Linked DNA regions of Diceros bicornis minor. The protein of the gene in region 4 binds, or shares a complex with, the protein of the main gene of each other region. Links are inferred from orthologs where the notes say so. Each region holds a gene or a part of one and is shown on either strand. Other genes may lie near its edges.

Evidence for each region.
Region 1: the proteins of GNB1 (region 4) and GNGT1 are in contact, whole or in part, in a cryo-EM structure (PDB 7L0P), measured with the Homo sapiens proteins. The link is inferred for Diceros bicornis minor from reciprocal best matches to the Homo sapiens genes GNB1 and GNGT1. Residues at the interface, in NP_001269468.1 of Homo sapiens: Leu30, Ile33, Thr34, Ile37, Val40, Ile43, Met45, Arg48, Arg49, Trp63, Ser84, Tyr85, Thr86, Phe235, Pro236, Asn237, Asp254, Arg256, Ala257, Gln259, Leu261, Ser279, Lys280, Ser281, Gly282, Arg283, Leu284, Leu300, Asp323, Gly324; in NP_001316355.1 of Homo sapiens: Met31, Val33, Lys35, Cys36, Cys37, Glu39, Val40, Arg41, Tyr43, Val44, Arg47, Ser48, Asp51, Pro52, Leu53, Val54, Ile57, Asn62, Pro63, Phe64, Lys65, Glu66, Leu67.
Region 2: the proteins of GNB1 (region 4) and KCTD5 are in contact, whole or in part, in a cryo-EM structure (PDB 8U7Z), measured with the Homo sapiens proteins. The link is inferred for Diceros bicornis minor from reciprocal best matches to the Homo sapiens genes GNB1 and KCTD5. Residues at the interface, in NP_001269468.1 of Homo sapiens: Arg52, Gly53, Leu55, Lys57, Tyr59, Gln75, Asp76, Gly77, Lys78, Thr87, Asn88, Lys89, Val90, Ala92, Pro94, Leu95, Arg96, Ser97, Ser98, Trp99, Met101, Leu117, Gly131, Asn132, Val133, Arg134, Val135, Thr143, Tyr145, Gly162; in NP_061865.1 of Homo sapiens: Val157, Arg159, Val160, Leu161, Gln162, Cys163, Gln164, Glu166, Glu167, Gln170, Met171, Thr174, Met175, Ser176, Asp177, Trp179, Ser190, Tyr191, Val205, Lys207, Leu209, Glu219, Ser221, Lys223, Ala224, Leu227, Gln228, Arg230, Gly231, Ser232.
Region 3: the proteins of GNB1 (region 4) and FFAR2 are in contact, whole or in part, in a cryo-EM structure (PDB 9CM7), measured with the Homo sapiens proteins. The link is inferred for Diceros bicornis minor from reciprocal best matches to the Homo sapiens genes GNB1 and FFAR2. Residues at the interface, in NP_001269468.1 of Homo sapiens: Arg52, His54, Leu55, Asp312, Ser334, Phe335; in NP_001357016.1 of Homo sapiens: Arg37, Gln38, Pro39, Gln40.

The regions. Positions count from the first base shown.
Region 1 is NC_080742.1:31,204,712-31,212,180, reverse strand, and holds the start of GNGT1 (guanine nucleotide-binding protein G(T) subunit gamma-T1), read right to left. Parts: upstream 3,368-7,469; coding exon 3,272-3,367; intron 1-3,271. UniProt on the Homo sapiens protein: Guanine nucleotide-binding proteins (G proteins) are involved as a modulator or transducer in various transmembrane signaling systems.
Region 2 is NC_080765.1:45,803,143-45,810,776, reverse strand, and holds the start of KCTD5 (BTB/POZ domain-containing protein KCTD5), read left to right. Parts: upstream 1-4,365; 5' UTR 4,366-4,380; coding exon 4,381-4,632; intron 4,633-7,634. UniProt on the Homo sapiens protein: Its interaction with CUL3 suggests that it may act as a substrate adapter in some E3 ligase complex. Does not affect the function of Kv channel Kv2.1/KCNB1, Kv1.2/KCNA2, Kv4.2/KCND2 and Kv3.4/KCNC4.
Region 3 is NC_080773.1:9,227,893-9,234,447, forward strand, and holds FFAR2 (free fatty acid receptor 2), read right to left. Parts: upstream 1,670-6,555; coding exon 686-1,669; downstream 1-685. UniProt on the Homo sapiens protein: G protein-coupled receptor that is activated by a major product of dietary fiber digestion, the short chain fatty acids (SCFAs), and that plays a role in the regulation of whole-body energy homeostasis and in intestinal immunity.
Region 4 is NC_080752.1:22,670,408-22,678,052, reverse strand, and holds the start of GNB1 (guanine nucleotide-binding protein G(I)/G(S)/G(T) subunit beta-1), read left to right. Parts: upstream 1-4,326; 5' UTR 4,327-4,467; intron 4,468-7,645. UniProt on the Homo sapiens protein: Guanine nucleotide-binding proteins (G proteins) are involved as a modulator or transducer in various transmembrane signaling systems.

The DNA.
Region 1 (7,469 bases), on a different chromosome or scaffold from region 4:
GGTAACTTAGATTCACTGTTTTTCCTCTTTGAAATTCAAAATTGAGATTTACATTCATTTATTTTTCCCCTTCTCCAGACACCAGCTCTTTTGGCCACAACTAGATGTCAGGCACAGAGGTTTAAATTGCTGTCCTTATTCAAGAGTCAGTGAGGGCTTGGTTTTGACAGTGTCTGGCTAGGATCTGAGGATCTGAGGAGCAATAAATTACCTAAAATCATATGTGAGTGTATGTGTTTAAAAATTATTTCAAGGCCTGGCCCCATGGCCTAGTGTTTAAGTTCGGTGCACTCTGCTTTGGCGGCCGGGGGTTCGGTTCCCAGGCGCGGACCTATGTCATTTGTCAGTGGCCATGTTGTGGTAGCGACCCACAAACAAAATAGAGGAAGATTGGTACAGATGTTAGCTCAGGGCCAATCTTTCTGAGGAAAAAAAAGCTGTTTCAGGGAGGCTTATCATAAGTGTATATAGTTTAATACAGGATTACATGGCATGGTGGCAAGAGCATGGACATTGGATTCGGGTCATCCCAGGTTTGAATTTCAGCTCTGCCCACTTACCAGCTGCGCATGTATCCTTAGTTTAGATAGTTCATCTAAGGTTTAATTACTTCATCTATGAAATAGGAAAAGCAACACTGGTTGCATTAAGTGCTTGGCCTACAATAGATGCTCAACCAAATGGTAGCTATTTTTAGCTATTACTACAAAGATTGTCTTTAGTCTTTGCCTATTACATTGACTTATAGTCATTGCAAATCTGTCAGCTTTAGAAACTGGGTGCAAAGAGTTGTCTTACTCTGACAGTACTAGTGCCGACAGCGAAATCGAGTTGAGGCATATTATGAACCAGTCTGGTTCACAGATATCAATAATAATTTAAAAATTAATAATAATGGTAGAAAGCAATTGCTATGTACTAGGCACTGTTCTCAGAGATATATATATGTTATCCCATTTATTTCTCCCAATTGCCCTCTGAATTAGATGTTGTTACTATTCCCATTTCCAGAAGAAGAAACAGAGGCACAGGTAGATTAGATAACTTAGGTGAATGTTACACAGGGAGGAAGTTGTGCAGCCAGAATCTGAACCAGGGGTATGGTTCCAGCGTCTATCCACTTAACCATACTGTAATGACATTACGCCATCCTGCGTCAGAGCTATGGGTTCAGGACCTGGAAGTTCTGTGTGTGTGTGTGTGTGTGTGTGTGTGTGTGTGTGTGTGTGGTTTTGGCAGTCTGATATTAAATTAATTTGACTTCCAAGAGCAAGGAGACGTTGAGTAACAGGGAAAAGGAACCCAAAAACCTGACAGATGGTGATGTATATGATGTTTACCCAAAATAAAAATTCCCAGGTGAACTTGCCACAAGTGAATAATAGACATAAAGGTAACCAAATTGCCTGCAAAACAACAATCCTGAGTATATAAATAATAAAACAGCTTTTGGAAGTTTCAAGTAAAGAAGAAAAAATAACTCTCCTTTATCCCAAAAGTTTGTTTTATTTTCCCCAAGTTATAAAAATAAGGATTTTAACTTTCGGGTGTGTATTTCAAGCTTTTGTGCTGTTTATAGATTTAACTTTATCTTTACAGCAAAACATGTTTTGTCTGTACGGAAAGGGCAGTGGGGAAGTTTGAGACAATTATAAACATAAAAAGAAGCCAGAATTCCAATTTTTATTGGGAGCAAGGGTTTTGAGCAAAGTATGAAGATAATGCAAACTCCTTTTTTTGCTTTGGCCTGATAAAGCAAAATGAGTTTTTAAAAAAATATAAAATATACTCTTATCACTTGTGGAGGAGTTTTTATTCTACTAACTTTCCTAAAGTGAAGAGATTTAAAGTATATATCTACATTTTCCAAGCTTCATTTTGTTTGGTGGAAACTTTTATTTCTTTGCCGTTTCTGCTCCTTCCAATGGCAGAGAACTCTTGGTAACCATTTCTAACATCTGTCAGATGTTTATAGGGGGAACAAGTGAGTTCTTGGGCTTGAACTCATTTTTACTAGCAAAGAAGGAATAGAATGTGCTCATTCATTACTGGCCATGACAGTGCTGAAGGGGATGAGGTCTTGGCTAAAAGTATTTGAACCATATCAAATAAATCAAATAAAGAGAAGCTTATCAATTTAGAGGAGTAAAAACAAAATGCCTATTTACATTGCTTCATTTTATTGCTTTGTTAAATATGGTCTCTGTCTCATATTCCTCATTTTCTCTTTCTTTCCTTCCTTTTTGTTTTAATAACTCTAGAAAAATGTAAAAACATTTTTAGCTTAGTGGTCATACAAAAACAGGCTAAGGGTTGGATTCGGCCCATGGAAAATAGTTTTCCAGACCCTTGATTTAGAGTCTAAATCAAGAGATAATTGTGATTATTAATTTTCTTAATCCACAATTAATTTCTTTTTTTTTTTTTTTGTGCTGAGGAAGATTCGCCCTGAGCTAACATCTGCACCAGTCTTCCTCTATTTTGTATGTGGGTCACCACCACAGCTTGGCTGCTGACTAGTGGTATAGGTCCATGTCTGGGAACCAAACCCGGGCTGCCGAAGCAGAGCGCACTGAACTTAACCACTAGGCCACGGGGCTGGTCCCAATCCCCAATTAATTTTATCTGAACAATTTATTTTTAGCTACACTGAGCCTCTTCAGTGAATGGTGTGGGGGAGGAAAGGTAACTTTTCCTCTACCCTTCTAGGTTCTGGCTGAGACACCCCTGTAATAAAAAAGGCAGATTAACAGGAGAAAAACATAAGTTTAATAACATGTATACCTCCTGTACACATGGGAGATACCCAGGAAAACTGAGTAACTCTCCAAAATAGCCCAAAACACCACCTTAAATACCATCTCCAGCTAAAGACAAAAGAAGATGTTGAGAGGTGGGGGAGCCAGTTATGGGAGGCGACCAGGAAAAGCCTAGGTAACACAAGTAAGGTTGTTAAGCAGATTGAAGTCCTAGCCTTCTGCATTGATAAGAGATGTAGAGTCATCCTTCTCTTACAGAGCAGGAGACACCCTTACAAATGGAGATTTCCCTTATAAATGTAAATGTCTCTTCCAAAAGGGTAACTTCTGCTTACCTGGTGTTCAGAGCTTCTCCTGTGCTGATGTTTCTTAAAAGTAATCAGCCTAAATAATCCTTATGCCAAAGACGCATATTTTGGGGTGGCACATTCTGCTCCCCTTCAACGGCATCTAACCTGGTGGCCACAGTATCTCTAGTTTAAAATAAAATTCAAAAGAGAGCAGCAGTTTACCAGCATTCTTTCCAGTGTCACTTCTTTCTTGAGCTGATCAACTTCCATCTTCAACTTGTCCTTTTCTGTCAGGTCCTCAATATTGATAACTGGCATCTTTCGCCTACCAAAAAGGTAGAAGGTTAGTTCATAGGTTCGAATTGCTGGACTTGATTCAAGTCAATGTTAGCCAACCCTTCCCTTAGCCCTTAACTTACTAAGTGAGCTGTTTCTTTCTTTTACTTCCTATGATAATCAATTTCTCATGAATGGTCTGAACAATTCTAGCACTGCACACTAGACTTGGAACTTTAAAGCTTCTTTATAATCTTCACTAATATGATTAAACCAAGCATTTGACTCTAAACACCTGCTAGTAGGTTCTTGGGGAGAGGTCAGTTTAGTCAGTATATAATCTTAAATACCCAAAGCTCTGCCTTTTCCCTGGTTTTTTGCACAGTGTAAAAATTAGGGTTTCCAACCCTCATCTCCAACTCCAAAGCCCTCCACCATATGATTTATGCCATTTAAGTTAGTTTGAGGTCATTCTGAGGACTGTCCATTAATCCCCTAAATCACTAGAGTATTATAATCTGGTATTAACAGAGAATCTTACAAAAGTGTTACTATAAGTTCTTTACAAATAGTGGATTAAAATATGAACCAATAGAATAGAAATATAGCAAACAACTTTGTTAATCAGAAATAAACTAGCATATTACTTAGAAGTATTTCTCCAAACAATAGCTAGAATTTGTATGTAACTGTCACAATGAATTGGATAGCAACAATGAGCAAACACAGAAAGTTAAAGTGGACATAGTGAGTCTGATCTACTGATGTGCATCGCAAAAGAATAGACTCTTCTGCACTCTTAGCAATCTCTTCTCCTTAATTAGATCAATGGGCAATGGGGAAGACAGTTCAGTCGCTAGTGGTACCTGTATGAAATGGAAAAGATTTCATTGTAGCCAAGTGGCGTCATACTTATAATCTCTCCTCTCTTGGTCCTTTCCCTTTCTCTTCTGTTTGTCTGGTCCAATTTTTATAATAATAAATTTTTATGAAAGCAGACATATTCAGGCTATATGCTATTTCAGAGAACAACTTAACATTTTACCTCTACATGAAAATATTTTGCTACTCATATATCAGCAATTAACCTATTTACTTGTATTTATATATTTCCTTGTTTATATTTCGAAAACCTCTGAGGAAACATTATTTCCCTTCTCGATTTTATAATAGCCTATTTTTCTCTGGGAAAGAGGTAGTTGAGCATATTTTTAGGGATAAATGTTTAAATATGCCAGCCCAGAGGTAAAAAGAACATCCTATGGGTACCCGAAGTCAGTGTTTCCTATACTTTTTATTTTTGCTATTCTTATTTTAAGAAAAAACATGACAACAAAAAGGTTATTTCTTCCTGTGTAATTATTGTTTGGTATTCGACAACCCATTCTCAATTTTATTCTTACCTTCCTTCTCACTTCCTTCAGACTATCTATAAAAATTCACAAACATCTATTTCTGCTGATGATTTTTACCTGTTGATATTGTCCTTTGCAGGACTTTTCTCCATTTTGGAAAGCATATTCCACCTGGCAATGGCTCTGACATCTCAGTGTGCATAAGAATCACTTTAGGAACTTGTTAAAATATGAGCCCAACCTAAGAGGTGTTAATTTGAGATAGGGCTTAGAATTTCATTTTCTTTGTTCCAGAGAAGCCCTACCATATTATTGCTAATGCAATGATCATTCACTGGCACTCGCTAGCTGTGGGGCCCTGACCAAGTTACTTAACCTCCCTGTGCCTCAGTTTACTAGGAAATAGAAACAATAATATTATCTACATTATAGATTTCTTGAGAGGAATAAGGATTGCATAACAGTGTATAGCACAGAGAAAGCACTCAGTACATGTTAGCTGGGTTACTCACTTACTCTGTACCTCTAGACTTTCAGACTGTGCTGTCTTACGTGTCACTTGCTAATAGGTGGCTTTATAAGGGCTCTGAAAGGATATCATGTGGACAGAACTGGCTCCTTTAGTTCCATGCGTAGCCGTTGCTGTTGCTGCCCTGCCCAGATCTCCCTTTCCAGGCTGAGGTACTCATCCCCCCAGCAGCTGCAGGTATTGACTGCCAAGAGCAAAGCTTCCACATAGGTCTGTCCTTGGCTGATGGGAATCACTTCAACTGGTGCTGTCTGAGAGATTACACCCTCAACTGGCCTCTGTGGGTGACCTGTGGCAAATAGCTGGCTGAAGTACGGTTCTAGTAGCTCAGACCACTTGCCTCTGGGCTGAAAACCTTGGTGTAATTGAGAACCTTCCAGAACCTCCCATGGGTTCAAAATGAAGCTAGGCTTCTGAAACTACATCTTTGCCTACCTTCTGCTTCATCCTGCTTTCTTCCTTCTTTCAGAGGTTTCTCCTGAGAGCTCACCCTCGAGAAATCACTTGGACAAAGATCCTTGTCTCAGGCTCTGCTTCTAAGAAATCTAAGACACTATGGATTGTAAGGACCTTTACAAGAGTATCTATATCTTTCGTAACTTTTATGTCCTTATTACTGCCTATTGTCCTGTATATTGTTTGTTATGCAGAAGAGAATCATGAAGGGTTGATAAGGTCACTTGCAACCTATGTCATAAATATTCCTCTAGACAGAGAAAAGTGCAAGGCATCTAACTTCACTTTATTAACAAATACTTTCTTAGTTCTAAAACACTGTGATTCACCATGTTTAATAACATTTTAAGTAAAACACACTTCATTTGGTGGAGGTGAATCTTAGAAAGTTTGAAAATGCTTGCCAAATGTAATGCCACCAGTCTTGTATGAGAAAATTCAAAGAGCGAGGATCAAAACTCTCACTTCCCTCAAGGACACCCAGACACACAGAGAACAGCAGCATATGTTGTCTGCATGGAGAGTCCAAATGCTCAGAGTTGTTTTGAAGTCAAGGGTTTAAAAGGATTCAGATATAACATCATCTAATTTACTCTCTATCCCCAAGCTTCCCCCCAAACCCTCCACCTGGGTGGCTCATCTCTCAGCTTTCAGGTTGGGCCATCTCTCCATGGGGAGTCCTAAGAGGGGCTGGATCAGATTACTAGCCCTATTACCAAGCATCCCCACCCCTACCCTCACCAGAATATAAGAGGAGGACTGAAGGTTCATAGACCAACAAGCTAAGGTAGCAGTTACATCTAACCCAGGGGACAAACATACCCCCTTTAAGTAGAAGATATTTGCCCTTGTGCCTCTTCCTCCATTCTGCACTACCATCAGAGGAACTAAGGTCCAAAAACAGTGAGAAGGGGAGACAGGAAGCATCTCAGTTGTACTCTATCCATAGAGCACTGGTTCTCAGTGGGGGCAATGCTGCCCCCTGGGGACCTTTCGAAAATGTCAGGTTGTTTACGGTTGTCACTGGTTTTTGTGGGTGTAGGTGAGGGATGTTGGGAGGATAGAACTACGTAGAGTAGCCTAAGTATCTCACTAATGTCTTTCAGAGTTTCCGTTAGGTTTCTTGGTAATTTATTTTGGAATTAAAATGGACTAGTCTAAAGTTCAAAGGCTTTTTGTTTGCTTTTACACATTACAGATAAGCATATTTTGAAGTAAGAAAACTTGACAAAATATTTAACTTAATAGGGGCTATATTAGGGGAAAAATATGAAAATTGTTATTATTATTTTTTGTGTGTGTGACGAAGATTAGCCCTGAGCTAACATCCGTTGCCAATCCTCCTCTTTTTGCCTAGGAAGACTGGCCCTGGGCTGACATCCGTGCCCGTCCTCCTCTACTTTATATGGGACGCCACCACAGCATGGCTTGAGTTGGTCCGCACCCAGGATCCAAACCCGTGAACCCCAGACCGCCAAAGCAGAGCACGCAAACTTAACTGCTGCACCACTGGGCCAGCCCCCAAAATTATTTTTTAAAAGTCCTTTGTTTTATACAGAGAATCAATCACAGATTCTTTGAAATAGGAACATTGCTAGCACAGTTTAAATATTCTGATTTAAACATTCAGTTTGACACATTTTTTCAGAAACAAATCCACTGTTTTATGTACAATAAACTTGTAATCATATGGGTATAATTTTCTTATCTTGTACCATTCTTTTTCATCTTGACATTATACTTGGGACTCTAAAAAAATAACAGCTACCATTTCATTTATTCATTCAACAAAAATTTACTGTGT
Region 2 (7,634 bases), on a different chromosome or scaffold from region 4:
CTCTCTAAACCGGGAAAAAAGTACGCATGTTGGGGATTCCATTGTGCTTGGTAGTGGGAGGGGTTTGGATGGGAGCGGAGGTGGTGGCCAAGTTTGCAGTGGTTTCTGCTTGGGCCTTGTCCACGGCTCTGTGAGAGCCAGGCGAGAAGGGGGGAGAGAGAGAGAGAGTGAGTGAGAGTGTGTGTCTCAGGTGCCCAGGTGTTGGGGGTGTGCCTGCCCTGGGGGCGCCCCGGAGAGCAGAGCACTGCCATGGGCGTGTGGTTGGAAGTCAGGCTCCCTCTTTCCTCCTCCTCGCTTTTGAAAAGGCTTGCCTATGCTCACCTGCTCTTCACAAAGTGAGTCTTGCTTGTACCTTCCTTTCAGGAGTTCGATTTCAGGTTTACTCCCCGTGTTTATAGTTCATCCCCCTCAGAACATCCACGTCTGTGTGTGCAGTTCGGAAGCCGCTTTTGCACAGTGTCTTTCCTGGGTGTCTGGTCACAGGGAAACAAGCAGAGCTGATATTTGGCTTTAACAAGAGTACTCAGCTGGGCTGCTTGGGGAGAGACGAATCTTCCGTTCCATTCTTCCCTCTGGATAGCGCCACTACCTCCTGGGCTTAACCGACAAGCTCCATCTTACTGAAACCAGAGAATAAGGGGTTCAGGGTTGAGCTCACAGCTGACAGAGCTGAAGTGACTACCCTTCCCTGAGGCAGTGACAGCTGAGCCCTTCTCTGTAGGTCACCTTTCTCCTCTCACTCAGAGTCCTCTTTTTTTTTTCTAGGCCCGTACATAATCTTTTCTTACCCTGTACTTACTCATGTCAACTTTAGTTTTATCCAACTCATGCTTAGAGCCATCACCCTAGCGTGCAGGTGCCTTACATTCTAAGAGGTGGACGTGGGTGTCAGTCTGGGTGCATACACAGACATATGGAAGTATAAATGTGGATTTATCCAAGGTGAGAAAGAAAACACCCTGTTTAACAGGTCCAGGTGCCATGTGTCTTCCTGAGAGAGGGCAAGGACAAGTATAGGGGCCACACCCGCCAAGTAGAGATGGTCCCACATTGTGTGGCCTCTCTTGGCACGGAGGGGAGGGAGGACGGCCAGGAGGGCTGTGGTCTCCACTGGCTCAGGCAGCCCACTGTGCCTTGCTTCTCTCTGGCAACGGGAGGAAGCCGGGTTTGGATGGGGTGGTTTCCTTCCCTCTTTCTGTGGACCCGACCAGGGTGGTGGGCAGCCCCATGTGGAGCACAAAGCCCCACCCTGTGAACGGCCCCGCAGCCGGCCTGCCATTCCGAACCTTGACTCTCTAGAGGCTTGTTACAGACTTGGCTTTGAGAAAGATGGCTCTTAGGGTCATGCCAAAGCTGGTGGAAACTGCACCTACTCCCACCCCGTCAGGCCACTTGGTGGTATTTGTGGCCCACGCCTGAAGGAATTGCAAGAGATAGCCCTGTGGCACAGACCCCCCTAGGGCAGTGTGCCAGCACGGGGGCTCCAGGGGACTGTACTTTCATACTACATTTGTTTTCTGAAAAAATCAACGGTAGGCTCACCACCCAGAAAAGACCACTGTGAACATTTTGGTGTATAGCCTGCCCCTCCTGCACACACACACAGTTGTTTCCTTTTTAAACTAAACTGGGAGCATACAACATATACCATTTTGCATCCAGCTTTTTTCACTTGATGATTTTATCTTAAGCATTTCCCCATGTCTTCATATATGAACAATGATTCAAAAACATTGTTTTTAATGATTGTAGAGTTTAATGTTATACATTTTATCATAATTTATCTGACCATTTCCCTGTTGTGAAACATTTAGATGGTTTCTGGTTTTTCACTATTTAAATAATGCTGCGATGAATATCCTTATAAATCTTTGGCTTTTGACTCTGAATCTCCCCACCCCGATTCCTAGAAGTGGTATTTTTGGGTCAAAGAGTTTTGTTAGTTTTAAAGGTGGTGGTAAATCTCTCTTCCTCTGTCTTGATCTGATGCTTAGATGCTCAGAGTTCCAATACAGAACCTTCTTAGTTGTATCCTACAGATTCTGAACACATCCATTTCTGGTAAGCTGTATGTTCCAAAGAATGTTTGAGTAAGACTGCTCTCTCTTTTTTTTAATGCTAAAATGATGTCATTACTGCAGTTCATTTGTGACAGATTCTTCCAAAAGCTAATTTCCTTATTTTCATTGAAAGAATCTGGTTATGCTTGCATCTTAGTTACCTTCCCATCCCTGCTGCTGTGGCTTTCAAGTGCTTGGTAATATTTTCAGAATCTCCTACTTTGTGTCCACAATGGTACTGAATTTGCATCTGCACAGTCAGCAGAGATAAAAAGTGTTGAACTGACCTTGCCACATGCTAGTGGATGATTTGTAGTGAAGTTCATAGACTCAGAAAGTACACTGGGCCATTTGGAATCGGTAAAAGCAAAGGCTCTACTTGAAAAAGAAACCACGTAGACACTTGGGTTTCACACAAGTGTTATTTGTCCCCATGTTCTTCACGTCGTGGGACCTTGTCAGAATGTCTTTTGGGTTCAGTGGAGCCAGTGGCCAGGCTTTCTCACTAGAATGTGACTGTCCTGTGGCCAGGCTTTCCCACTGTGGAGTGGGTCCTGGCTGCTGTGGGTTTAAGGGCTTCTCCCCTCTCCTCACCCACAGTGTCGCAGGTTGCCTAGTTGTCCTCAAGCCCAGACCACCCAAATTTGGTTTCATTCTTAATTTCTCCACTTAAGTTTGGAGTCTCTTGATTCTGAGAGGAAACATGCATGAGAGATTTTTCTAGGTGCCATGCTCAGTGCCACTTAACTCTACCAGAGAGTATGGCTGAATTGTTCAGAATTAGGTCTCCTGCCTTCCTCTGACACCCGAGCCCCTCTCCCCGGCGGGTCCACTGACTACAGAGGCTGCAGCCACTGGGAGAGAGCGGTGAAGGTACTGTTCTTGGAGATGTTGCCCTATACATGTTTTTCCACATTGTTTCTTTTCATATCCAAACCTGAAATGAACTGATGGTGACTCAAGTGGGTGTGGCCCTGGGTTTGAGGCGGCCTACAGGGCAAGTGCCTTAAATCAGGGCAAGAGGCACTCCCAGAGCCTCTGAGGGGCGCAGGCTGCTGGCCCATGATTGCGAGGTTGTAAATCAGGCTGCCTGTGGAGAGTGGGTCTGGAGGGGAAGCCGGTCCAGCAAAGAGCAGTTTTATCTGTAGCTCAGACAGCCGTGGTGGGCAGCTGAATGAGCCTACGTGTATACCTGAATTTTCCCCATAACTCATTTCTTCAATATGAAGAAACACCAAACTTTGTGTACAGAGAACTTTTTACAAAGGCAAACCTTTTTTAGCTGTGTAATCCACCCTGGTCTAACGGTCTGGCTGAATGAATAGGGGTCATTTTGCTGGTGAAAAGCCTCTATCATGATCAGAAGTTTGATTGGACCTTGGCAAATTAAATTCTTGCAGTATTTAGAGCTGCTGCAGCTGTTCCTTAACACAAAATAGGATGAATCAATAAATAGTATGTTAGCTGTCTTTCAGGTTGGTGGCAGGCAGTGAGAACATGTGTAATATTCTCTACCTGGTCTGTAGCTGTAACTGTGATGTACAGGCAAAGCAAAAATTTTAAAAAACTTATGAAAACAAATAATGCAATGATATTAGGATATACACTTTTGTATTTTTATTCTTATATAAGGTTATTTGCTGGCTCTTGTTGGCCTCTAGTTCAGTCTGTGTTATTTAAAATCTAATATATGAATTATTTGGATTGAATTCATGTTCGGGGCCACGTTGTTGTATGTATTGATGTACAGCCTTGAATGTGAATAATTATTGTAAACTATATTTTACAACTTTTTTTCTGGCTTTATTATATAAATTTTCTATTTGGTCAATGATTTAATCATATCATAATTTAATGAATCTGTTTATTCTCTTTTTTTCAAATATTTGTGCTTTAGATGTAGTTACCGGATGATGAATTTTCCACGTATGCTCGGTAGTCTTGTAATAAAAAAGCATGTAGAGTGTAGACGCTCGCTGGTACCGCAGCTCTTCCTTTCGCCGGGGCTGCGGGGCGGGCGTGGTCGCGACTTGGGTTCTGGGCCGGGAACCGGCCGTCCGCGCGCCGCACGCGCGGGGCGGAGGCTGCCGAGCGCTTCTCCACTCGGTCGCCGGTCCCCGCGCTGCTCGCCCGCGTGGGCGCCCTGGGACCACGCCGTGGCCGGCCCGGGCCGGAAGGGGGCACGGCCGGCCGCTTTTCCGGACCGGAACTTCCGCCTCTTGCGTGACGCCGGCCGCGTGGGCGGGACAGAGCTCGAAGGACTATATTAAAGACCGGACGCTTCCGGTGGAGGGGAGCTGTGGCGGTGCTTGCTGGGATCATGGCGGAGAATCACTGCGAGCTGCTGCCGCCGGCCCCGGGCTGCTTCGGGGCGGGGCTGGGGGGCGGCCTGTGCCCCCGCTGCAGCGCGGGGCTCGGCGCGCTGGCCCAGCGGCCTGGCGGCGTGTCCAAGTGGGTCCGGCTGAATGTCGGCGGCACCTACTTCCTCACCACCCGTCAGACGCTGTGCCGGGACCCGAAATCCTTCCTGTACCGTCTGTGCCAGGCCGACCCCGACCTGGACTCGGACAAGGTGAGGGCCACGCGGGCCGGCCACGAGAGTCTGGGCCCTGCCCGCGCTGGGGAGACCGTCCCGCCACAGTTCGGCCCGAGCCCCCGACTCCCTGCCTGGGCCGGGGACGGAGGGGATGGCGCCCTGGCGCCCACTGCCTTCGGGGATCCCCGGCCACGCCACCTCGAGGCGTCTCTGTCTCGTCCTCTCTGCTCTGTGGCGGAGGAGGCTACCCAGACCCCGGACTTTTTTGTGAGTCTGCTTTCTTCTCCTCCCTCGACTCTTTGGCCCCTGGTGTGTGCACACCTTCTCCTCTCCGCGCCGGGGTACTTAGTGGTTCTGGAGTCGCGGAACCCTGGCGCTGTTCTCGTCTGTTCACATTCCGGGCGGTTGACTTACCGTTGGCGTGGGGGGGTTTCACGGGTGGCCTGCCTTTGCCAGTGACTTGCATTTAGAGAGTTGGCGCTCCACCGTCTTCAGCCACAACACTCAGCGCTCTCAGAGGGTGCCATCCATAGAATGATTGTTCAAAGGGAATGCTGCTCATATTAAGGGGTGGCTTAGGGGTGTCAAGGAAGGGCCAGGGGGGAAATCTTTTTCAGTCTGCTTTCTAATTAATTAGCCTAGTTTTCCGACTGCCCTGGCAAAAGGATAGGAATTTCTAGGTTAGTTTGCAGCTTGTCTTTCATCAAGTTTAATGTTCACACTGTTGTACGGGTGGTAATAGAAACTATTTTGGTGATTACCTTTACTTTACAAGACCTGTGTGACCGAGGAAGAGTATCTCAGGCACTGAACAGGATTGAAACTCAGGGAAGGCGTTGTTGGAAAAAGCTATTACTATATTTGTCTTGGGCAATTCACAAGTGTTATTCTAACTTGCCAGGGTCTTTCAGTTGAGCCTGCATAATTGCACTTGGCCTTGTGCCTTGCCACCCCAACATTTGCCAGACATAAGGCTTCCCAGAAAGATTCAGATCTCTCTTCAAGTTCGAGAACCCTGACGGAGACCATCCTCCCTGTGGCATGACCTTATGATCAGGAAATGAGAATTCTTGAGTTACCACAAAACCACCCATCATGGGTAGGAATCAGGGTTTGAGATGCCAGCGCTCTGGTCCCCTGGTGCCGCCGCCCACCCCCCTCAGCTATTTCCATTGCTCATTTGTCTGAGCTCTCCACTCTTAGAGGATTGACCTCCCAGAAAATGACAGTCTTCTCCAGGATAGAAATAGGCTTTTGTCAGTTGTGATTTTTCTTTTATAGTGTGGGTCTATGTTTTACTGTTTTGTTTTTCTTTTTAAACAGAGTCTTAGGGGTCATTCACTTGTATTTCTACTGAAGCGTTCCTGTTTTGTATATTGAGTCAGGTTTTAAATTGTTCTTGTCCGTTGGGTTGTTTGTTTTGAGGCAATGGCTGTCGATTCACCACTGAAACAATTAATACAGAGCCGATAAGCTGTAGCTTGCGCAGTTAAGTCGATTCATCCCTTTATTTTACTGTCTCAGGACTACTTAAAAAATTATGCTTTACTGTAATAGGAGTTCTTTGGGAGAGGGTAATTAATCTATCACAATATATTTATGTTGTAGTTTCTTTTTTTTATCAGCATCCACTTAAATATATTTGATTTCTGAATTGTAAAACTGAAATTTAGATACGGTTTCTGTCTCATAAAATAGTTGATAGTAAATAAGGGTTAATTTTAGTCACAGATAATGTGGATTTGCCAGAAAGAGTAATGCTAATTTGCATTAGTCATGGTAGCGTTTTACTTCAAATGAGAAAATGTAAAAGATACTCGGTCTTCTCAGTTTTTTCCCCCCTTGTTTCTGATAAAAGAATGTCCCAGTGGGGCCGGCCCAGTGGTGCAAGCGGTTAAGTGCGCGTGCTCTGCTGGGGCGGCCCGGGGTTCGCCGGTTCAGATCCCGGGCGCGCACCGACGCGCTGCTTGTCGAGCCGTGCTGTGTTGGCGTCCCATATAAAGTGGAGGAAGATGGGCACAGATGTTAGCTCAGGGCCAGTCTTCCTCAGCAAAAAAGAGGAGGATTGGCATCAGATGTTAGCTCAGGGCTGATCTTCCTCACGCACACAAAAAATGAATGTCCCAGAGATTCACTCCTAGATAGTTAAACCCTGAGTGAGGAGCCTGAGGGTGAGGCTGGAGATATTTGGGGGAGTGGGACGCTAGTATTTACAGGGTGGAAGAGAAACAGGATGTTGATTCACATGTAAAAATCTCCAAGCCCTGACCTCATAGTTAAGATTAATGAGAGCATACCTGGCCCCTATTCCTGGGCTGACTGAGAGCACAACCTGGTGGAAGATTTCCTCCTGGGCATTTGACTAGTATTTATGGAGCACCTGGGCTTGCAGAAGGTGGCCCTTGGATAGGGGTTGGGTAGGGAGATTTAAGGGGGAGGAGTTCCAAGAAATGGAAGACTTGGAACCTTTCAGGAACCTGATGGTTTTGGAGTTCACTGGGAGAGTGCCTGAAGCTTGCTCTTAAACGCAGACTGTCTGGTGGGGAGCTCCATAGGTGGTGAGTGGGAGAGGTGGAGTTATAGGATGCTTTTTGGAGGAGTGCTTTTAAAGCAGTCAACAGACTGGTTGTTAGGAAGGTTGGGGAGCTCGCTTGCCACTGGTTCCCCTTCCCCTAAGTCCTCACGTTCCCTGTCTCAGGACTGAGCCTGGGACCCACTCCCACCAGGCCCCGAGCTCCCAAACCCTTACCCTCTTGTCTCAAGTTCTGACTCTGGGTCCATTGCTGCCAGGAAGTTCTCTTTATAGACAGCCCAAGTGTGAATTCTCACTTCCTCCTGGGGCTTCCTCCAGTGGGCTATGTCTGCGTTATTCATTTCAGCATCTGCTCATTGGCTGTCTAGGCCATTTTTCTCTCCCACATTCCTTTGGGGGCAGGCAGGTGTAATGCTCCTTCCCGGAAGTGCTTTGTAAATACTTGGCGTGTGATTCATTTGGTTATGTCTCTTTGTGTTCCGTGGTACCTGCCCCACAGGCATTT
Region 3 (6,555 bases), on a different chromosome or scaffold from region 4:
CAGGTTGTCTTGTCCTGAGCTAGTCAGTGTCAACGTCTGCCTGGCGGGTGCCACGCTATTCCTGACCTGTGTGGGGTGCTGTGGAGGGAGAAGACGAGACCCAGACCTTAGCAGCTCCCGGTTTAATGGGGGAGACAGATACACACGCGAAGACGACTGGACCATACTTACGAAGCAGCAGGTCCAGTCGGTACAGTGCAAACCTAGATCCTCAGAGGTCCAAGCCCCCAGGCCTCCCTCCAGTCCCTTGGCTCAGAACCTTCCCAAGTCTCCTTTGACCTCACTTAGTTTTTCTCTTCCATCTCTCTCCCATTGGCTTCTTGCCAGCATCAACGGCTAGACCAGCGTCTAGGAGTTGTTGCAAAGCTTGCAGCAAGATTGCTTTGAGACTCCGCTTCAGCCCGATCATCCGCAGCTACCACCCACCTCACAAGGACTGGACTGACATTAGCTACATTGCTTCCGAAACAGTGCTGCTATGCCTAACCATTTCTTCTTTTGCCATGGAGCTGTGCTCCTTTGAGAAGGAAAATTCAGGAAGGGATACCAAACTGGTGAGAGAGATTTTTGCAGTCCCAGTAGTGGACTGGGTCTGAGGATTCCTGAATCTGGGACAGACCCTCATGTCTCCCTCTCCCAGCCTCCTCAACTCGCACGGAGCCGAGTGTCTCCAAAGGTCCCATCCCTAGTCTGTGGCGGAGTCAGAACTTGGCACTCGGTCTACTGGACTCACACCCCTGACCCCGTTGGTCACCTCCACCGACTCTCTGCCTCTGAGTCCCAGCAGGGAGGATCCCTGGTCCCGCAGCACCTGCAGCCTTTTTTCAAAGGCCCTGCGCACAGCCGAAGAAGAGAAATAGAAGAGCAGGGGGTCCAGACTGGCATTGAGGGAACAGATTACCACGGCTTCTGCCCGCCACTTGGGGCTTTTCTTGGTGTGAAACCCCACCAGGTGGGATATGTTATAAGGCCCGAAGCACACCAGGAAATTAAGGAGCGTCACGATAGCCAGCCCCACAGCTCGGCGCCGCCTCTGGGCCCCCACATGGGGCTGGGTGAGCAGGATCCATATAAAGCGCCAGTAGCAGAAGATGGTGATCACCATGGGGATGAAGAAGAGGACGAGGCACAGCTCCAGCCGCACGGGAAGCACCACATCCAGCTGCTCTTGGGTGAAGTTCTCATAGCAGGTAACTTCTAGATTTGTGGCCTTCTGGGTTGAGTTAAAGTACTGAACGATGACCACGATGGTGCAGTGACCAAAGGATATGATCCAGGCGACGAGAGCAGCAACCACTCCATACACAGGCCGGCGGGACAGCTTGTACTGCACGGGGAAAGCCACTCCCAGGTAGCGCTCGACGCTGATGCCCGCCAGGAGCCACGTGGTGCAGTAGATGCTGCTGTAGAAGCCAAAACCCATGGTGGCACAGACTACCTGAGGCAGGTACCAGCGGAAGTCAGACGCAGCCTCGATGATCTTGAAGGGCAGCAGCAGCAGCAGCAAGAGGTCGGCCAGCGTCAGGTTGAGCAGGAGGATGTGGATGGGAGCGGGGTGGGGCTGGCGGACCCGCCCCACAAAGGCCCACAGGGCCAGCAGGTTGGCAGGGAGACCAGTGAGGAAGATGATGATGTAGAACGTGAAGATCAAGGAGCTTGGCGTGTCCATTCTGGAAGACGATGAGTAAGGGCAGGCAGGAGGCCCCACTCACAGCCTGCAGACCCTCCTCTGGCTCAGGATGTGCACATCCTCCCTGGCAGGCTCCTCTTCCCGGGCCAGGGCCTTCTGCTGCCACCACTGCTAGCTCACACACCTGCCAGAACTGCCCAGAGCAATTATTGACTTTGCCTTGGGTGGGAATTAGGCAGTAGTTATTACGTTTGCCGTCATGCGTCTGTCAGGGAGACCAGCCCTTGGCTTCCTGAGGGAATTCCCCCTCTGGGTTCCCAGCCACTCTCCTTCTCTCCTCGCAGATACAGGAAGATACTGTTATCAGTGTCTGACCTTTCTTAAGTCCCTTCCTCAGCCAGAGACCTGTGGAGAGAAGAGGCAAGCCTCATCACACTGAGGAGAAAGCCACAAGATGTCTTGCAGGAGAACTGGGCTCTGAAAACCCAGGCCCCATGACCCAATGCTGGCTCTCCACGGAACCCGCCACCCGCCAGGAAGCAAATGCCCAGCCCCCAACCCATCTCCCCACCTTGTTTTCCTCTCCTTTTGCAGAACACAGATTCGCCTCCATCTTCTCCTCCCCGTCCAGCACAACTCTGCGCCTGTGTTGAAAAGGGTAAGCTAGTGAGGCACAGGGAGCGGGGAGCAGGAGGAAAGGGGAGCCAGTAGTATCTTTTGGGCCTTGTCCCCCAAGAGATTTTAGAGAATATTCAGAAAAGCCCACAGGCAGTAACCGGCTCCCGAGCCTGGCATTTTGACTAGAAACAGAACTCTCCTCAATGGGGTGACTCAGTTTCCATTTGGTGGGAACCCTTGCTGCCCACACACGGTCTGGCCCCTCTATCCTCTCTCTGGGGTGGATGCCCGGTCTGAGCTTCCTTGGCCCCACACTTGCTCCTGTCTCCGGGTGTGATCCTCCCATTCAGTTTCTGACAGGCCTCCTCCTGCCCCCAGCACCTCCCCTCCATTCTCATCCCGGCCTCACTTCCCAGAGCCAGCACCGAGCCAGCTGCCTTGCCTTGTCTTTGCTCCGGATGGATGGCTTCTTGGGATTCGTCCTGAAGGAAAGTCTGAAGGCTCCTGGGAGAAGGGAACAGAGCTTTAGCCACTGGTACTGCACATGTCACACAGGAAAATGTTGTAATGAACCTGGCTGGGAGAGAGCTTTTATACCAGCACGAGTCACGTGACCAGAGAGGGGAAGGTCGGTGATCCAGCGCTGGCTCCTCTCAGACCGAAGCAAAGGGCACCGGCCAGCATCTCCATTCTCCCCCTAGAGATCCCTGCTCCGACTTCCAAACCCAGATTTTCTGTCCCTAGTTCCTGAATTTTTTTCAGTCCCAGGCATTTTTCCCATTTCCCAAGTCAGATTATCTTATCTTCTCTTTTCTAGGCGATTTCTTCTGTAATTCTACTCATTTTCAGAAAAGAGGTTTCCTACTTCCTTTTATTCTTCAATTTTTTCCTTTCTGTATGGTCTCCTGCCCTCAGCCCCCAACAAGTTTCTTCCACCCTCTCGGCTGAGACAGATTGGTCTCTCCTAGCCTGCATCTTGTTCTGGTGGAAAGAGCGTGGGATTTAGAGTTGGGCGACGTGGGCTCAAATCCAAGTCTCTTCATGGTGGCCTTGGGCAGATCAATTTTCTGAACTTTAGTTTACTCTTCAGCCGAGTGAGGATGGGAATACTCACATCCCAGGATTTCTGTGGGGCGTCAGTGAGAGAGCACATAAAGGCGTATGGGCTGGTGTTAGCCTAGTGGACTCTCCGAAGTGGAAGCAGTCGCTCCTCCCAAGCTTCATAGAGAGTGAGCCACTCGGTGCAACATCCAGAGGCTGAGGCGCCGACATGCCAGCTGACGAGCAAGGTCGGGGATTCCGGAGGCCGACGCGCCTGTGCGGCTCTTTATAGGGGGGTTGGCGCTCCGTTCCTTCCCCGGATGTTCCCTTTCCCTGTGAGCTGGGCCCAACCCCTGAGCCACCCTGGTGCTTTTCTGGCTATGTCCGCCTTCGACCTGTAAAGCTTCAGGTTAGAAGCTCCTCAATGTCCTCTTGACACACACACCCAAGAAAACAGAGATGGAACATGGTTTCCTCATGACCTATGGGATGGTCTCTGCTTTGCTGTCTGTGGCCCTATCCTTACTCACAAAATCTCCATTCTTTCCCTAGGACTTATGCTTATTCGCTATTGTGTACTCATTCATTCATTCATTGAGTCATTAGTTTTGTGGCCCAGAACCCCAGGTGTCTTCACACTTAGCTTTTCTTTCTTTTGCACTCTGCTGTCCTCTAGAACCGAGGAGTTCTATCTTCTCGTTTATTTTCTTCCCCTGCACACACATGTGCTTCCTAGATATTACCAGGGGAATGAAGGAAGAGACCTTTCTCTGTTGCTTGCTTCCAAATTTATTTGTGCCGTTTTGCTTTTATGATTTTCTATAAATATTCCTGAGTATCTGGATGTAATTGCAAAGCGGAAACTTACTGGAGAGCAGGTGTTGAGGAGCATGACTGTTTCTTTATCGCCACCTGTCCTTCCCCCACCTCCTGCCTTTCTCATGTCACTGTCATGTGTCACCCATGTTGAAGATCCCCAGTGAACCCCCTCCTCTATGTTCATGGTAGTCACGAGGTCACATAATCAAAGAAACTTCTGAACTCGTGGTTCATAATGCCCACCTGTGTCACAGGAAAAGGGAAATACAACCTCTCGGGCTGAATTCAAGGGCTGAGCTGTCACAGTCTCTCTCAAGTTCGGTGCTCTCTCATCATCATTATAACCCAGCTTGATGGAGGAGGAACTTGAGCCCATTATCTAATGTTGTATAATCACTTTCTCCACTTCTTTATTTCTCCATCATCCCTCAGTCCACTCTAATCTGGGTTAACCCCTTTTTTTCCATAGGATCTACTCTTCCTAAGTTTAGCAGTGCCCTCTATGGTACTAAATTCAGTGGACATTTTCTTACTGTTTTATTAGCATTCAACACAGTTTCCACACCCTTCTTGAAACATTCTCTTTCCCTGAATTCTGATATGTTATGCTTTTCTGGTTTTCCTGCCTTTTTTTGGTCACGTCTTAATTGCTTTTGCCATCTCACCTTTTCCTACACATCCTCTAAAAGTTGGAGTTCCTTAGGACTTGGTTCCAGGTTCTTTCCTATCCTCACCCTATGCTGTCTCTCTGGTCTGTTGCATCCATTTCTACAGCGTCAATTACCATCTTACATAACACCCACTTTGGAATCTCCATCCTGGGCTTCTGTGAGCATCCACATCCACATGTCCAACTGCCTAGTAGACATTGCCATTTGGATGTCCCCCACGCATCTCAAATTCAGTGGGTCCAGAGCTGACTTTAGATCTTCTCCGTGAAAGGAGAGGTCTTTTTCCAGCATTCTCTGTGTTGGAGAATAGGATCTCTTCCCACCCCATTCCCTGAGCCGTAATCTTAGAGTCAATCTTAATGTCAATCTTAACACGATCATCTTCCTTACCCCCGAATGCAGCCCAACAGACTTCTCAAATACCTGTTGAATCCGTCCGTTTCTCTCCGTCTCCATTATCCCATCTCAGTGTAAGCCACCATCATCTGTTACCAGGAATTCAGCGGAGGCCATGACCAGCTCCCTCACAGCCGCTCACTCCCCTGGCAGTCAGCTCTCCACACTGTAGTTAGTGGGATCTTTTTAAAAAAGTCAAGCCAATTATACCATCCTCTTGTTTTAAAGCTTTCCAGAGGTTTCTCATTGCCTGTAGGATAAATATCAAAACCCTTAGTAAAGCCTGTAGGGCCTTGCTGGCACGGCCCTTGCCAACTTCCAGGCCTAGCTCCTGTTGCCCTGTCTTTCCTGGCTCTCTAAGCAAGACCAGCTCTCGCTTGTGTGAATGTGCCCTCTCTCCTCCTGCCAGGGGCCCTTGAACAGGCTCTGCCGGAAATGCTCTTCATTTCTCATCACCCGCTCCAACTCCCCCGCTAATCCCTAGTCTCCTTTTGGATACTCTCTTCTTCCCTCCGAAAGCCCTCCTTGACCTCAGTTAGGGTCCTTATTATGTGTTCTCATAGCATCTTTTCTATTGCTGAATAGTGTTCTGTTTTATGGATATTTTATATTTTATTTATCTATTCACCTGTTGATGGACATTTCTTTTTCCAGTTTTTGGCTAGTGTGAATAAAGCTGCTATGTATATTGTTGCTTAGGTCCTTGTGTGAATATGTGTTTTCAGTTCTCTTGGGCAAATACCTAGGAGTATATCGGCTAGGTTGTATGGTAAACTTTTTGTTTAACTTGCTAAGAAACAGTTTCCAAGGTGGCTGTATCGTTTTTATTCCCACCAGCAACATATGAGCATTCCAGTTGCTCTGTGTCATCCCTACCCCTTGGTGTTCATTAGTCTTAAGTTATAGGCATTGTAATTAGTGTGTCATGGTAGCTCATTGTGGTTTTAACTTGTCTTTCCCTGATGACTATTGATGTTGAGCATCTTTTCAAGTACTTATTGGCCATTTGTGTATCTTCTGTTGTGACGTGTCCATTCAAGTCTTTCGCCCATTTTTAAAATATGGGATTATTTTCATATTATTGAGTTCTGAGAGTTCTTTATTATGTTTTGGGTACTAGTCATCTGTTAGATATATGTATTATACATATGTTTTCTCCCACACTATGACTTTTCATTTTCTTAATTGCCTCTCAAAGAACAAAAGTTTTGAATTTTGATAAAGTTTAATTTATCTAGTTTCCTTTTGTGGTTTGTGTTTTTTTTTTTTTTTTTTTTGCTGAGGAAAATTTGCCCTGAAGTAACATCTGTTGCCAATCTTTGTCTTTTCTTTTATTTTCATGTGAGCCACCACCACAGCATGGCCACAGACAAGTGGTGT
Region 4 (7,645 bases):
TTACCATCCTCACTATCTTGACCCCGTTTTGTCACCAAACCCTGCCTCTGGAAGCCTGCAGGAACTAATTAGCGCTTCTTCCGGATTACCTACATACTGCACCCTTCCATCCCTGCCTTGTCCTTGTCCTCCGTCCTCTGGGGCGTGGAGACAGGGTCTGGCTCCTGTCTCACTTACTGGAAGCAAAGACTGGAGGGCCACGTGGTGGAGAAACAGACAGTGCTCCGCAGGACACAGACAGACTCTTTGGGAGCTGCCCCCTGCCGCCTGGAGACCCTTCAAAGCCAGGCTTGGAGTAGGTCCCTGGCAGCAGGTCCTGGTCACGTGCACAGTTTGAATAATTCAGATTTAAAAAGACCTACTTTCCCGGAAGACCATTTCCTGCTAAAGAGCAGATGTGGCAGGAGCATCTGAATTATGCATCTCGCTCCCCAGGTTTTAATGATGGCCAGGCGCTGAGCCAGGCACGGGGGCAGCCGCCTTCACCCTGGGGCCCTGCTCAACCCTGCAGCTGCTTGGCTGGCCTGGCCCTGGGCTGGCTACTGCTGTTCGTGTGCAGCTCTGGACTCAGGACCACAGGCTGATCTCTAAGCCACTTACCTAGAGACGGAGGGAGTGTTGCTAGGAAATCAAGAGAAGCCAGGGTTCCTGGCTGGCTGGGTGTGAGCTCTCCACAGTTTGGGGTAGCGGGCAGTGGGTCCACCACGGGGCCCTGATTTGTGTCCCACTGAGGTTGGGCCTGGGCAGCAGTGGGAGCCAAAAACTGCAGGAGGCCTGGGTGGAGTGGGTGGTGAGGGGGCAGGGAGGGCAGGGTCCCCAGAGCAGCCTTCAGACCCTTGAGGTCTAAAGGGCCCTTGCCGGAAGCTGGAAGCTCCTGTAGGTTCCTGAGAGCCGATCAAGGCCCAAGGCACATGTCCCCTGGCCTAGGGGTGGGGAAGGGACCCCTGGGACTAACTCTGTGGCCTGTGTGCATTGGAGGGGGATGAGGCCCCAGGCTGTGCAGGGGATTGGGAATAAGTCCCCATGTCCCCTTCTCCTTCCCTCCAGCCTTCCCCTCAACTTTGCCCCTCATACCCGGTCCATAAACACATAAAGGAGGGTTTGAGGCCTGGCCACAGGGCAAGTTCCAGGGAAGGCCCTGACCTTCCCTGCACCCTGCAGACCTACAGATTAGCCAGGGTGCCAGGGCTGCACCCCAAAACCTTGGACAGCTGTGGCAGGCACTTGCCCTGTGGCCCTGGTATAAGTGGGGATGTGCCCTGCCAGGCCAATTGTGGCCTGTGGGACTGGGGAGCCCTGGGCCAGCCCTGCCGGCACACCTGCTGCCCAGTCAGGCCTGCAGCCTGGTGCCCCTCATGGCCCTCGGGTGGGTTTGCCGGGAACTAGGATGGCAGGGTGGGGGTTCTGAGGGTCCCCCAGGCCTCCTGCCATCTCCACAGCAGCACAGAGGTCTCCGCAGAGACCACTCACCCCCCTGCCCACTTCCTTCTGCTCTGCTGTGGCTCTGCCTTCCTTCCCCCACCTTTCACATCCTCTCCCTCCTCCCCTTCCTTCCCTCCTCATTTCTACTTTTCTAAGTCCTGGACTTAGGTAGGCATTGAAGGTTGGCATCAGACCCACTGGATTGGGAGGAATGTCTCTGACCCTGAGTCTGGGGCCTTGGGTCCATCATTTCTGGGACCCACCTGCCAACGCTCAGGACACCCATACTTCTGACTGTGCGTCACCCACCTCCTCCTCGCCAGCAATGGGCAGTGCTGCAGAACCACCCACCTCCACTCCCCGGGCTGCCGGCCCTCGTCCTGGACACAGTAACCATTCTCTTCCAACCGTGCCTGCTCCCCCAGCCTGTGGTCCTCATGCTGAGTTGTGCCCCCTCACTTGGAACACAGAGGGTGGCTCACACCCCTTTCACCCGCCCCGTAAACGTTCCCTGAGGACCCACTGTGGGCCCCACACTGCTGGAGCAGCAGTCTAGGAAGTCAGCAAAACAGCCCGTGAATGAACCATGTGCAGTCCAGGAGTGAGAGCTCTGAAGAAAAGTGAAGCTGAGAGGCACTGGGGAGGTCGGTGGTGGTCGAGGGGGGCCAAGGGAGACTCACTGTGGTGACTGGAGGTTATGGAGGAGACCCTCCCCGGCAGATGGAGCCACAAGGGCAAAAGGCCAGAGCATGGAACGTGGTGGGCTATGTGTGTAGCAGAACAGAGAGAAGCCGGAGTGCAGGACAGAGAGGAGGGCAGAGGGACCTGGAGGTTGGAACTGTCGATGGTTTTGAACAGAGAAATGATATGGTTGACATTCAGTCTTTGCTCAGCTGAGCAAGGTGGACATCCCTGCAGGGGTGAGGACTGTGGTGGCCCAGTAGAGGTGAGAGACCATGCCGAATGAGGAGGGCGGGGTGGAGACTGGTTGGAGATGATGGAGATTGGTTACATGAGGTGGTAGTTTGTGTGTGTGTACATATTCATGTATGCCTATACATACATATGTTCTCTAGCTCTGTCCGCTGGAAGCAATGACACCTTAGTAGCAGTGAGCACATTCAGAGCTTGGATCCTGGCTTCTAAATACCATTCCCAACTAAAAGGAACCAGGGCTCCTTGGAGAAATGGCTGAGTTCAGGTATGGGACTGGGAGGGTCTAAGATGAGCCTGGAGTGTCCTGTGCCAGGAATTGAGAAAGGGCTCCAAGGATGATGGGGACATGTTTGTGGGCTGGTAGGAAAGAGCGGAGTTAAGGGTGGGGACAGGGAGCACAGCCCTCAAGTGGGTGGGAAGGTATGGGCCCAATGCTGGAGTGAAGGGCTGCCCTAGACACACACAGATACACACACAGACACACACACACACACAGAAGAGAAACATCAGCTGCAGCTGGGAAACAGGCTGGGGAAGGCGGGAGGGGTGATAGGGCCCCTTGAGGTTGTGGCCCTGGTTTAAGGGGACAGCTGCATTCTTGGGTGTGTTCTCCAGCCTCCTTTAGCCAAGCCCTGTAGGCTGGAGGAGAAGGGGCCCTGAATTTGATCTAGAAAGGGCAGCACAGGGAAGAAGGGGCAGGAGGCTGAGGGGGTTGGCAGGGTGACTAGGGTTGGGGACTGCAGGCTTTCAGTGAAGAAGTCAGTGGGGTGAGAAGCTGTTGGAAGTGGGGAGGCAGAAGTCAGCTGAAAGATGGAGGTGGTGGGCCAGGGGCTGTTCTATTGACATTCATATTGACATTGACATTGTACAGAAACTACAGGCTGGTGACATCTGACCCATCTCCGTCCCCTTCCCTTTCCCCACTTGGGGGGTCTTCAATCCTCAGCTGTCCAGCTGACTTCTCAGTGGCATTTGCAGGGGTCGACCATCTCTCCCTCCTGATACTTTCCTGTGGTCACACCTCCCTGCCCAGGTGGCCATTCCTGACAGGGGGCCCTGGGCTTGACCACCCGAGGCCACACTTGCCTGCACGGGCCTGAGCTCACTCAAGCCTCACCAGTAACCCCAGGGACTGGCCTTGTCCACGCGGCAGTGGGGCGTCCACCCCACGACCTCGTCCAGCGTGGAACCCGCTGGGCCACCGCCTTACATGAAGGAATTGATCAACTCCGTTGCACCTGCGGGCCTGAGGGTTGGCCTGGGCTGGGCCTGCGCAGGGCACGTGTGCGTGGTGCGGGTACCTGGCATGCGTGTGTGTGCAGGGTGCAGGGTGCCTGTGCGAGTACGGGGTGCAGTATACGGTGTGGAGCGCTTGTGCAGGGTGCAGGGCACTAGTGCATCGTATGGGGTGTCCAATGCGGGGTGCAGAGTGCAGTGCGGGGTGCAGGGCTCCTGTACGGGTACCGGGTGCGGTATACGATGCGGAGCGCTTGTGCTGGGTGCGGGATGCCGGGTGCGGGGTGTATGTACCAGGCGCGTGTGCAGGGTGAGGGTTAGGGGTGCCTAGCGCCGGGCGTGGGTGTGGGGTGAGGAAGGATCTGCCTCCCGCCCTGCAGCCTCCACCTACGTCCGCCTGGCTGGGAACCGAGCGGGTCGGCCCCTCAGGCGCGCAGTCGGGCATGGGAGAGGCCCAGGCCTAGCCTCGGGGCTCCCGGAGCGGGTCCCCGAGGGCGCGGCACGGCCCCTTTAAGCGGCTCGCGCACGTGCGCGGGCCCGGCGCCGGGGTCAGGGGGAGGAGCGCGGGCACGCGCATGCCAGCGCCGGGCCGTGCGCGCGCGCGGCGTGCGCGGTGACGCGGCCGTGGGGTTTCCCGAAGCTGCGGACAGGGGCCGCCGCGCCCATCCCGATGGCTGGAGGCGTCTGAGGGGCGGACGGAGGCGGCGGCGGCGGGAGCGGGCGCGGGCGCGGGAGTGGAGTGGCCGCCGCGGGACCGGACCGAGCCTCGCCGGCGCATCTGCCCGCAGCGCCCGCGGAGCGGCCCGAGCGCGACCACCTCGCGGAGCGGCGGCTGAAGCGGCGGGCGCGGGCGTCAGGGGACGAGGCGCCGAGGTGAGCGCGGCGGCCCCGGCCTGGCCCGGCCCGGCCCCGGCCGCGACCCCGGCGTCTCCCGCCGCCCCGGGTCCCCGCCCGGGCCGCCCCGCCCCGCCCCCACCGCTGCCCGCCGCGTCTTCCTGCCCCGCCCGGGCAGGGTCGGGGGGGTCGGCGGGGCGGGGGTAGGCGGCCCCTGAGGGCGGCGGCGGGCGGGCCGGTCCGGGGTCTAGGCCTCGGGCTGGGGTCCGCTCTGGCGTCTGGGTCCAGGTTTCCGGCCGGGGCCCGGCGTGCGGGGTCCAGGTCCGGGGGCCGTCATCGGGAGGCCGGGCGGGCGGGCCGGGGCCGGGGCGGCGAGAACAAAGGGCGCGGGCTCCCCGGGGGGCGGGGGCGCTCGTCCTCCGCTCGGGAAGGACGCCGCGTTTTAAATGCAGCTTTTCTGGCGACTTTGAAGTTCGGTTTGGTAACGACGCGATGGAGAGGGGACAATGAAATGAGGAAGCTGGGGCCCGGCCAGCGGCCGCCCGCCTGCCCGCGGAAATTCGGGGGGATTTGGGGCAGAAACAAAGGGCTGTGCCGGGAGCACCAAACCTGTAGCGATTCTCGGCTATTTTCGTTTTTACCGAGAAGTGGCAGGCAGCCCCGTGGCGAGCCCGTTCTCGCTGTTTTCTCCCTCGCCCGGTGCGGAGCGTGCGGGCGGGTGGGCTGGGGGTGGCCTGGGGCCCCCCGAGGGCACGAGCAGGGCCGGGCCGGGGTCCCCGCGCCCGAATGAATGGCTCCGAGGCCAGGCCCCGCGACAAGATGGCGCGTCCGCCCCGCTGCCATTGTCAGCCGCGCGCGCCCGGCCTCCCCCTGCGCCCCGGTTGTGTGTGGGGCTCCATGTGCGCTGTTTGTCAGGACCGGGGTGGGGAGAGGAGGGAGCAGCGCGGGTTGGGTGCCCTCCTTCGGCCCCTGGGGCTTTTCGGTGGCAGCGGGGTGGGGGCGGGGGAGGCGTTGTGCTGAAATGCCACCAGGGTGGTGGCTCGGCCATCGGACTTGTGAAAAGCCTTCTCTCTTTCCCTTGCAAATTGATATTTGATTCAAAAGGTGCTCGAACATTTCTTAAGTGCTTTAAATTGCATAGTTAGCTTGCAGAAGCAGTGTGAGCTTTAGCTGCTAAATTCCTCTTTATGGAAGCTTGTTAGGATTGTCAGATTCGTCTACCGCGGGAAGACTGATGTATGAATTTTTATTTTGGGGAGGGAAGCTGGTGGACGTTTACCGTTCAGGAGTACGTTACTGAGTTCATGCGTAAACGATGTAGACATCTTAATCTATGGTTTTGGTTTGGAGAGTATTAGTGGGTTTTTTGTGTTTTCATTTTGCTGCCTATCTGGTAACACAGTGATCTCAAATAATATTTGATGATTAAGCAGTTGCTTATGAGATTGATTATTAACTAAAAAAATATGTAGATTATTTTTCATGATTAGCAAATAAGGTGTTAGGTTTGTGAGAAGTTCCTTTTAACTCTAGATAGTGGACAAGGTCTTTGGAGCATCGTTAGCCGTAAGATTTCTATCTGAGTTCTTTGTTTTCTAATTTGAAGCTGTAGTCTTTTTTGGGGGTGGAAGCATTCTTTATTTGAAAGTAAAGTTTTAGTTTGCATTCTGTTAAGATAGATAGGGTCTATTCTGGACTCTTCCGGAAGGTATGTATTGCAAAAAGAAAGTGAACAGGCAGTTCCTTTTTTGCTTGCTTAATAATACTGAGTGTGTGGCTGGGGACAGAGCTGGTGCCATCAACATGGAAGCAGGTCTGAGAACCTCCACACGGCAGAACTGAGTGGTAGCTTTTGGCTTGATTCAACTCTCCAACAATTAGAGCTGTCCAGAAATGGAGTGCGACTGGAAGGGCCAGAGGCCGATCTTGTCAGGATCCTGTGGGGGAGATTTCCTGCTGCCGAGTGAGGCTGGACTGCAAGGCCTCTGTCATTCCTGAGACTCACTCCCGTGTTACCTGCTTTTGCTTTCTCAGGCATTGTAAGTGCTACAAACTTTTCTTAGAAGGTGAGAATTGAGGAAAACAAAGTTAAGTTTTATGATTGTGCCTGTGGCTCACTCCCCTTTCCCCCTGCTCCGGGGCTAGTGCTAGGGCTACGTTTTATCTTTGGCTGGAGTGGTTGGTTCGAGAGTAAGCCTAGAGAGGACATTGTTCAACTGTGCCCGTTTTGACTCTGAATTGCTACTTTCTTAAGTGAACACACCCACCAGACATGTATGATCTCTGAGTTTTCACTGGAACTGTGTGTATCTCATCAAAGTACTAAGCAGAATGCTCTTTAATGATACCTTAATGAAGATTTCTTTCTACAGATTTCTTTCTGTTTGATATCTTTAGTTAGTTATGTTTTTTGGGGAGTTGAAGTAAATCCTCAGATTTAATTTTAATCTCAAAAGAGATTGAAAAGACGGCCAAAAGGCTGCAGAATAATGTATTGTATTTTTTTAAAGGGTAAAACCTTTTCAGATTTTTTTTGTGCCCAGTAACTTTGATTTCAAAGCTTGAATTAACCTATGTAGACTTTATTTTGACCACTTGAGAAATAGACTGATTTTATGAGGAGTTAATTTATTTCTCAAAGCTTTGTTCTTTTACATTTACTTTGCTAAAAATTTCTATGGCTGTTATTAGTTGGCTTGATGGGGAAAGTTGTATTTCTACGAATAGCTTTGAGAAAGGTCTTCAGGATATAAGACTTATCTACCATCAGTTGGCCTTTTAGCTAATACTTGAATAACACTGATTTTATTTTAGACGTGCAGTATTGGCGTTTATTATAGTTTTTTTATTGTTTTTTTTTTTTCCCCTGTCCAAAAGATTTGGCTCATTTGGTCTGTAAATTGGATTAAATTCTTAGTCTACAGACTTTGGCTTTTAGCATTAGTGGATTGGTAATAGATAGTCTCAATTTTGTTATCTGGACTTGACCATATGGCGTACCATATTATTTTGAAACCCCTATTTAGCGTAAGTCTAGTAAGGCATTGAACAAAAAGTGTTAGAATTTTTTAACCCTGGTATAAATTCCGATTTCAGGTTTGCATTTGTTGATAGGAGTGGTTAGAGAAATGATGAAGTAGACAGATCAGTTAAGTGGTTTAGTGAACATAGAATGAGGGGATAAAAACAAATTTAAATTGAACCTGAGATCAGAGAA